Macaca fascicularis: one gene and its partner. The main gene of each other region encodes a partner of the protein of the gene in region 2 in a complex. Links are inferred from orthologs where the notes say so. Each region holds a gene or a part of one and is shown on either strand. Other genes may lie near its edges.

The links.
Region 1: ODAD4 (region 2) and CLXN share a complex: the UniProt entries of both Homo sapiens proteins name them as parts of the outer dynein arm-docking complex. The link is inferred for Macaca fascicularis from reciprocal best matches to the Homo sapiens genes ODAD4 and CLXN.

What each region holds. Positions count from the first base shown.
Region 1 is NC_088382.1:58,624,555-58,629,737, reverse strand, and holds the start of CLXN (calaxin), read left to right. Parts: upstream 1-1,802; 5' UTR 1,803-1,912; coding exon 1,913-1,970; exon of another isoform or gene 1,971-2,116; intron 2,117-5,183. UniProt on the Homo sapiens protein: Component of the outer dynein arm-docking complex (ODA-DC) that mediates outer dynein arms (ODA) binding onto the doublet microtubule. Seems to regulate the assembly of both ODAs and their axonemal docking complex onto ciliary microtubules.
Region 2 is NC_088390.1:62,977,033-62,981,610, forward strand, and holds part of ODAD4 (outer dynein arm-docking complex subunit 4), read left to right. Parts: intron 1-72; coding exon 73-204; intron 205-339; exon of another isoform or gene 340-412; intron 413-467; coding exon 468-618; intron 619-1,355; coding exon 1,356-1,417; intron 1,418-1,644; coding exon 1,645-1,810; intron 1,811-1,899; exon of another isoform or gene 1,900-2,002; intron 2,003-3,437; coding exon 3,438-3,662; intron 3,663-3,763; coding exon of another isoform or gene 3,764-3,845; coding exon 3,846-4,053; intron 4,054-4,578. UniProt on the Homo sapiens protein: Component of the outer dynein arm-docking complex (ODA-DC) that mediates outer dynein arms (ODA) binding onto the doublet microtubule. Plays an essential role for the assembly of ODA-DC and for the docking of ODA in ciliary axoneme.

The sequences.
Region 1 (5,183 bases), on a different chromosome or scaffold from region 2:
CTCTTTCAGTACCTTGTCTCTTGAAGTGAGCAGTGCAGCAATCTCTAGGAATTAAGTATTTGCTACAGCTCTGTGATCTAACAGAAATCAATAAGGTGTCACAGGTAAGTATAATTCAAATATGTCCAGTCTTTCCCTTTTGTTCTCTATGGTTTCAGGAATTTCACTCTTCTAGACAAGGGGATATGTAGAAACACTATTTAAAAAGGCTACTGTTACAAATTCATAATCACCATCAATTCATATCAGGTAGCTGTTGTTAGGTCATTTGCTTTAGGATAAAATACAGTCCATGCCTTTACCAAGCACCCTTTGCTCTAGTTTCAGACAGCATCCCAATCCTTCATTCCAAAAACAAATGAAACAGTAAAGAGAAACCAGAGGCCCTGACATTGGAATTATTTCATTTGGGATTATTATTCATGGTTAGTAGAATTTTTCTGCTTCAGTCTAAAAATGCCAGTATGTGTACAATAACATAGTTTGTCATTTTCCCCTCTGAAGTTAAACAAGCAGGCACTCTGGAGAATACTGTAGATTTGGTGCTCCTGGCTGAGCCACCCCTTTTTGTTGCTGCCTTAGCTGAAAGGGAGGTATCCCCTCTGTGGTCAGGAAAAGCAGAAAGTCCTCCCACACTGAAGATGTAAGGACTATCCTTTGTCTGCAGACACAGAACCTGTCTTTCAAATAAGTCAAGGACCAAGGTTACTGAGATATTTTCCAGAAAAGCAAGATTGGGCTGTATCCCACACCCAAGTGGTAGTTGTCAGCCCCTGTTTTCATTGGGGGGAATGCCTATTTAAGCAGTATAAAAATTCCTAGTGACTTTATTCAGATTCCACAGACAACTTCCACCTTTTGAGAGTGAGATGAGGGCAGTGGGAAAAGAAAAAAAAACTACAGTCACAAGCCACATAGCGCCATTTAAGTCAATGTCAGACAACATTAGGACAGTGGTCCCATAAGATATAACACTGTACTGGAACACTGCTCCTTCCCCAGAGTGCTTAGCACTCTGTCCTAGCTGCCTGCAGCATTCCGCGCAGTGACCTGCTGTGCAGGTGTGCAGCCCAGAAGCAATGGGCTGTACCATACAGCCCGGCGTGCAGTAGGCGAGGCCATCTAGGTTTGTGTCGGTGCACCGTGATGTGCACACACTGATGAAATCTCCTCGTGACCTCAGAACGCATCTCCATCCTTAGACAACCCGTGGCTGTATTCCAATTTCCCCTTGCTCTCAGAAACACAACTAAAAGCTTGAAGACCTCAGGTGACAAACTGCCTCCTGTTACCGCACCAAGACTGACAGCCTAAGCGTGGCTCCGCCCAAAGAGCAAGCTCCTCGCCCTACGACAGGAGGCCCGGCGAGACAGTCCTCTGGACAGCACCCTTGCTGTTTTGTGACGCTGCTCCAGCCCCCAGGATGTCCAAGATCTTAGGCTTCCCTTTGACGCGTGACGCTCACCACCCGAAACACCTCTCATACAGCGTACACACCACATTTCAGATTTTAATCATTTACACTGCAATCAAGCAAAAAGGTTGCGAACTCAAAAGCCAGCAACAACTGAACATTTAAACTCCAACGTCCACAATCAGAATACAGCCCTCAAGGCGGCCAGCTGGGACCCTGCAGGCAGCACCGCGCACGCAGGACCTAGCGCACGCCGCCGTTGAGCCGATGGGCGGAGCTCAGTTGTTGCCATGGCCACGTCGCGGGCAGCCTGGGAGCCAATCCGCGGCGGATCGAGCCGTTGCCTTGGCTACACCGTCTGTTAGGGCAGCGCACGCTATCAGTGACTGAGACCTCACCGCGTTGCCCCAGCACCAGGGCTCGCGGGGGTCCCGGGAGAGTCTCGGCAGCCGTGCGCCCCGAGACCCCCGCCGCGGCCCCATTCTCTGAGGGCCAGGCATGAACCGCAAGAAGCTGCAGAAGCTGACAGACACCTTAGCTAAAAATTGCAAGCATTGTAAGTAAGAATCTAGTGCTGGACAAGTCGAGGCTCCTGGACCGAACCTGGGTCCCACCCGGTGCCAGGGTCCGCTGTTCTGCCTGCTTCCGGCCTCCTGGGCTTGTGTGGGCTACCTACCGCCCCTCCACTCCGGCCCCTTAGGCGTAAGTCAGTGGGTGAATCCCCGGGGTGCTAGCTCCTTGGGTTTGATCTTAGGAACCCAGGCCTCCACCTCTAGTGCTACCTACACTCCCACACATGCATTTACTTGCTTCTCCAAGCCTCTTATTTTACCTGATAGAAACGTGATGTTAGCCTCAGTGAGGTGTAAAATAAATGCTAAAACCCACTGGTCTCAAGAAAAGTACCACCACCAACGTGCACTCACCCTGCTTTCTAGCTCGCATATACACTCGCAGGTACAAGTTCTGGAAGCTTACCAAGAGACCCATAGGAGAAAACGGTGCTCAACTTCTCAACATCTTTAGGAGATGTTAGTTGTGTCATCTCATCTGTGCCTCAGAACAAGATTTGTTTGGAAAACAGAGTTCAGCACAACTAAACACGCGGAAAAGAATGGATTCCCAACTTTAGACTCCCACTTTCCTGTGGCCCCTAGTGTTGAAAGATAAAGGAGACTTTGCAGGTGACAAGATGAGCCCTATTTGAAGGCACCTGCTCTAATCTCGCATTTGAAAGGGTGGTACTGGAATTTCATAGGAAACTTTGAGTTTATATTCAGACTGAAAAACATAATTGCACTTGAGCAAGGAAACCGTGGGTATGGTTTAGATGAGGAAGATATTGCCTGTCGAGCAAACTTAGAAGTTGTGTGTTCATTGCAAATCTACTGGTCACTTGAAGAAACAGAAGCAACAATTCCCCAAATATCTGCATTGCTCAAAGAAGAAGGAATAAACGTGTTGATGTAGTTTTAGAGATCATAAGATCTAGTGCATTCTAATTATCATTAGTGTCTGATTTAATACCTGGTAAGAAATGCTCTCTTAGTGGGATGGTGACGTAAATGAATGTTATGGTATGTGTAAGCATCTTAAAATGTCTAGGAAAAAAAATCCTGTAATTTAAGGTATTATTATGACTACTATACTCTGATGAGAGTTTTGTTCTGTTATTGTTTTTCTTAAAACACTTTCATTTCTGGGAGAAGAATAGGTATTCTTCTAGTAAACATCTAGTAAACATTTTTGATAAATATTCAAAAACAATGCAATAGCTGCTATACACAATACTGATTTTGTCCCTTTCCATAAGTTTGAATTTGAGTTAGTCTCTGTTCAGTAAGTTTGAATGCATTGCAAACAATCATTCTGTAAACAATCAAAAGGTGAGTGTATATTTTTAAAGATAATTAAAAATATGGCAGGAAAAAGTCTACTCTTGATTTTTTTATTTACTAAAAAAATTTTAATGAGTCTTACAAACTTAGATGATTATTACAGTCTATAGAAATAGTTATAAGTCATGGGTATTATAATAATTTTAAATTTTCTTTAACAGAAGGAACTTTCCCCTAAAGTTAAATTTTGTTTTAGTTGCAAGACAATAAAACTATCAAGAGTCAATGGATAAATTTTGTAGAATCAAAGAAGAGTGAAAGATCTTAAGAGAGCATCTAGTTCATGCACCATTCTACAGATATGTTCTGCAGGACACATTTAGAGCATTCCAAGAAGATGAAAATCTGTTCTTGAATTTTCTTCAGTTTCATTTAATATTGTATTCTAGAATTTAAGAAATGTTTAGCAATAAAAGTTTTCTTATGGCTAACCTTTGATCCTTTGGGTAATAAATTAAACTAACTTTTTAAAATTTTTATTTCAGCTGAGATGGAAAAATGGCTAACCAACATCCCCTCTACTACCATTTTATATACATGAACAGAGTACATCATTCTTCATGCAGGTTTTTCTTCCCCAACCACTAATAGCTCTTGCTTTTTAAGAGGTTTGTGTGTGTGTATATGCGGTTACATGTAACATGAAATTTACTATTTTAACCATTTTAAGTGCTTACATCCTCCTCCAGAACTTTTTCATCGTCCCCAGTGGAAACTCTACCCATTAAATATTAACTCACCATTCCCTCCTCATCCTAGCCCCTGGCAACTACCATTTTACTTTGTCTCTATAAATCTGACTAAGTACCTCATATATGAGGAATCATACAATATGTGTCCTTTCGTGCCTGGCTTATTTGACTTAGTGCAATGTCCATAAATGTTCATCTATGTGTCAGAATTTTCTTCCTTTTTAAGACTGAATAATACTTCGTTGTATGAATACGCCACATTTTGTCTATCCATTCCTCCATTGATGGACTCTTGCATCTGTCTTTTGACTGTTGTGAATAATGACACTATGAACATTGTTGTGCAGGTTCCTGCTTTCAGTTCTTCTGAGTATGTATTTAGAAGTAGAGTTCCTGGATCATACGATAATTGTGTTTAATTTTTATGAAGCGCCATCATACTGCTTTCCAGTGACTAACAGCTGTTTTTAAAATCATAACCATTATATTGTTTCCTACTGTTTATTTGCTGAATCTTTTTTCCCAAAGTTTTTAGTGTTTCTCTTTAAATGTGGTTCTCCAAACCAGATATCTCACAAAAGCCTGTACTGACCTCTAGGATGAGGTGTGATTTTTCCATTCCTAGATGCTGTCTTCTGTTATACACATGCAGGTTTTGTCCTTGTTTGTTAAAATGCTCAATCATAGTTTTGTCTGGTTTCTAAATAAATTTTCCCCAACTTCCTCCCATACTTGGTATTTGGGCTTTTATATTATCAAGACCAGGCAATAACCCTTCCACCTACATTCTCAAATGGGGATTGGAACACAAATAATTAACTCGGTATTTATAACCATGGTCCTTTATACAATAATGTGTATGAGCAAGTATCTGTGTGTGTATATATCCTTTAAATAAAAATGTCCTTCCTCCAAACTATTACTGAATACTTGCATGTCAATTTTTACATAATCCTCAAGAAGAGCCATATTGGGTGCTAAAATATGCTTTAAAGCTTTTTATTGGAAAACTGGTGACTCTAGTTTCCAAAATCTGGCTTATGAATTCATGAAGCCTAAAGTGAAATGAAAATCGTTACCTAGTTCTCATGAACCTGACATCTATTTCCAGGGAAAAGAAGTTGTAAATCTCATGAATGCCATAGTAAAAATATTGAGAAAAAGTTACCATTTTTTAAT
Region 2 (4,578 bases):
GGCTGCCCTTCCCACTGCAGCTTCTACCTTGCTCTTCATGCTGGCTGTCAACCTGACTGGTTTCTTTGTCAGGCTCTTTACCTTCAGGATGGAGACAAGAACTGCCTGGTTGCTCGCTCAAAGTGCTTCCTGAAGATGGGAGACTTGGAGAGATCCCTGGAGGATGCTGAGGCTTCGCTCCAGAGTGACCCAACTTTCTGTAAGGTGACTGCATGGGCGGGAGGACTCGATCCTGCTATTGCCTGCAGCAGCTGCGGGTTACAAGTAGTTGTAACAAGTAGTTGTTACAAGTAGAAGCAGCCAGACTGCCTAGTGTTTGATGCCGTTTTCTCTTCGTAGGTCATTGCCTAAGTCCCTGCCCCCTGTATTCCAACCTTGACCCTCAACCCAGGACCCTTCTGTTCCACCACATGTGAGTCCTATAAGGCCTTATCTGTTCACATTGATTTGATTTCCTCCCATTCCAGGGGATTTTACAAAAGGCTGAGACACTGTACACCATGGGAGACTTTGAGTTTGCCTTGGTATTCTATCATCGAGGCTACAAGCTGAGGCCTGATCGGGAATTCAAAGTTGGCATTCAGAAAGCCCAGGAAGCCATCAACAACTCAGTGGGAAGTGAGTGGCCACAGGGCCTATGCACTTATCCAGGAAGGTCCTTGGAATCCTTAGGTTTAGAGGAAGGCTGAGGTACAGCAGGTGAGCAGCCACCACCAGGCCTGCAGGGAGTCCCACACTTGGATTTGGCTGCTGCAGTGTTGTTGAGGATTAGTTGGGCGTGGTGGCCGGCGCCACCTGTCCGCCGGGAGGACCATTCCCTGACGAACACACTGATCTCTGAGCGCTGCAGCCTTGGGTTTTCCTAAAGGTCAGCTTAGAAGGGCTGTTTCGAAGTAGGCCTGTCTTTAGCCTGGTGTCAAAAGCTAGAACGCGGTCCTGAGCCCAGCCTTCTGTAGTCCCTGGCTTCCTCCCTCACCACACGTATACCAAGGGCTGGCCTTAGCCATCAGCATTAAGGCAGGGGTAGAAGGGAAGCAAGTGAGAACAAGTGAGAGCTTGCTCTGTGGGTGGCAGGGCCTGGAAATGGACAGTTTCCCCTGTACCCTTGGCCTCCCTTTGTCTGGAAATCTGGCTGCCATAGCCTTGGGCTAGTGGGGGCTGTTAGCTCCTAGGAGTTATACCAAACAGCCTGCACCATTTGCTTACTAGGCTGGCTTAAGGCCAGCTTTGCCACAGCCTCCACCATCCCCCTGCCAAAGGCAGCCATTTCCACCTAAAAATATGTTATAGATCATGCGTGGGGGTTCTGGCCGTGGGGGCCTGGCCGACCTGAGCTCCAGCTTCTTTCCTTGCAGGTCCTTCTTCCATTAAGCTGGAGAACAAAGGGGACCTCTCCTTCTTAAGCAAGCAGGCTGAGGTAAGGGCCCTGGTTCTGCGGTTGTATCCCTCCAAGGGAAGAGGTTGTGTGTGCCTGAGAAGGGGTCTTGGGAGTCTAGCTGCAACCCGACCAGGCATACTCCATGGCTCTTGGCCCACAGAAAGGTCCTGGAGTTGGAGGAATCTGGGATCACAGACCATAGGGCCATGGCTGGGTATATTCTGCTCCTTGCTGAAGCTCTGCTGGGTGTTCCTCCATTTTCTTAGACTATAAAAGCCCAGCAGAAGCCTCAGCCCATGAGACACCTCTTACACCCCACCAAGGGAGAGCCCAAGCGGAAGGGCTCACTCAAGAGTGAGAAGACTGTTCGCCAGCTTCTGGGGGAGCTCTACGTGGACAAAGAGTATCTGGAGAAGCTCCTATTGGATGAAGGTTTCGGACAGTTTGTTGGCACAGGGCCTTGGGGGAAAGGAAATTTGGGTGGATGCTTCATGCATGAGCCGAAGGCAGAACCTGTCATATAATATTAGCTGACATGTACCTATGGACGGGTTTTATTAGCATTCTCATTTTACAGATGAGGAAACTGAGGCGCAGACCAACGGAAACTAAGGTCACATATAGGTAGGCAATGACATGGCTTACATTCGAATCCAGGAAGTCCAATTTTAGAGCAATGCTCCTAAGTGCTATGGTACCCTGGGAGGGAACAACAGAGATTTGGTCTCCTTTACCACCATAGTCCCTGAAGGGACATCCCCTTTGCCTTCAATCTTTACAATGGGCAAACGAATCCAGCACACAGATGCTTGAATCCGAGGATATTAGTTCTAGGATGTTCTGAAACATCATCTGGTCCAAGTACTCCTTTCATAGATAAGGAAATAGAGACCCTGATTGGGGAGGAACTTTTACAAGTTGACAAACAAGTTCGTGGTGGAGTCACCAGCAGAACCCAGGCCTCTGACCTCCAGTCCAGTGCTCTTTCTTTTAAAGACAGAGTCTTGCTCTGTCGCCCAGGCTGGAGTGCAGTGGAGCAAACTTGGCTCACTGCCACCTCCATCTCCTGGGTTAAAGCGATTCTCCTGCCTCAGCCTCCCTAGTAGCTAGGATTACAGGCACCCACCACCACGCCCAGCTAATTTTTTGTATTTTTAGTAGAGATGGGGTGTCACCATGTTGGCCAGGCTGGTTTCGAACTCCGGACCTCAAGTGATTTGCCCGCCTCAGCCTCCCAAAGTGCTGGGATTATAGGTGTGAGCCACCACACCTGGCCAGTCTAGCGCTCTTCCCACCACACTGCTGCCAGTGACGGGATGAAGGACAGAGGCCTGAGATGAACGTCTCGCATTAACATGGGGATGGGAGTATTGCCATTAGCTGATAAGCCTGAGCAGGGTCACCTGTGAACCAAATGCCTCTTCTCCAGAATTGGCTTCCCAAGGTCATATGTAGGGTTCCCTGTTCCGTGACACAGGAACAGCTTCACTGCTGGCACATCTCCTTGGCAACAGGCTGAATGCCTCCTGTTCTCCAGAGGACCTGCTGCAGAGGGAAGGGGTGGCTTGAATATTACCTCAAGTGGCCTTGTAGCTTTGCTACTGGCTGTAACCTCTGGCCAGGCAGTGAGCAGGAGTTGGGCACTCCCCTTCCAGCTCCCAGCATGCACAGGCCCACTGGGCACCTGGGAAATCACTGAGCACTGGCAGCCTGGGCCAGATTGTGCATTTAGACCCAGTGTTCTCTGAGGACACAGTTTGAACTGGGGAAGCCCCAAGGCTTCTCAGCGAGCCATCCACCAGCTGCCCCTTCTGGTTAGCTCCTCATATCTTGCCATAAGGTGCCCATACCATGGAACTCCCTGAAAGTGGGGCTCTGGCTGCATCCTGGCCTGGATAAACCCACTCTGCCACCATGCGCACTCAAATTCCTCTCTGTTTCAACAACTCCAGGCAGAGCTCTTCACAGAGGGCCCTGCAGCAGCTACCGGGAGGCAACAGGAGGCAACCCCCTTAGAGGCCTGTTCTCCTTGGCGCCTCCTCACACCCCTTCCCCACAGACCTGATCAAAGGCACCATGAAGGGCGGCCTGACTGTGGAGGACCTCATCATGACGGGCATCAACTACCTGGATACTCACAGCAACTTCTGGAGGCAGCAAAAGCCGATCTATGCTAGGGAGCGGGACCGGAAGCTGATGCAAGAGAAATGGCTGCGGGACCACAAACGCCATCCCTCACAGACAGCCCATTACATCCTCAAGAGCCTGGAGGACATTGACATGTGTGGGTGTTGTTCTCAGAGGGTGGGGCAGGTGCCTCCAGTGCCTTGTCAGGTGGGGAAGGAGCAACCAGGTGTCTGAGCCCCTGGTCTCTCTGACCTGCAGATGGTGTCTGCAGGAAGAGGAGTTTCCCCATCAGCCAAGAGGAGGCTGCCCTGGCCTCCACAGCACCCCTTTCCTTTCCCAGTGCTCACAAGCGGCAGTGCTGAAGGGAGTCTTCAGAAAGCCGAGAAAGTGCTGAAGAAGGTACTGGAATGGAATAAGGAAGAGGTACCCAACAAGGATGAACTGGTTGGAAACTTGTATAGCTGCATAGGGAATGCCCAGATTGAGCTGGGGCAGATGGCGGCAGCCCTGCAGAGCCACAGAAAGGACCTGGAGATCGCCAAGGAATAGTGAGTGCCCTAGGGGAGGCCACTGGCGTGAGCCTACAAAGAAGGACACCTGGGGCTATCTGAGGCCCTTGCCAGGGCTGCTGGTGGCTTGACTCCCATTTTCTGCTCTGCATGCCCGAGGTAGATTCTCCCGGAGGTGGGGACCACCTGCCCAGGACTGAGGGTGGGGGCACCTAGACTGTTAGCTTCTTTGCCACAAAAAGGGTAGTGGCTCAAAATTCCAAAAAGCTACCCAATGATCTGGCTCTTAGGGGTGTTTATATTCTTACATCATCTTGACAAGCACGCATGAAGCCCCAGACATGCCAGATGCTGCTAGTGTGGGAACACAGTAATAACCAGACACAAGGGTCATTTCCTTGCAGATATCAAGCAAAAAGGGACATAACTAATTAATTGCAATGGTGATAAGTGCCACAGAAGAAAAGTACAGAATCCTGTGTGGTGAGAAATACATTCCAGGAGGACTTGATGACATTGGGAAACACACAGGGCCTATGGAAAGGCCCTGAGACAGGAGGGTAC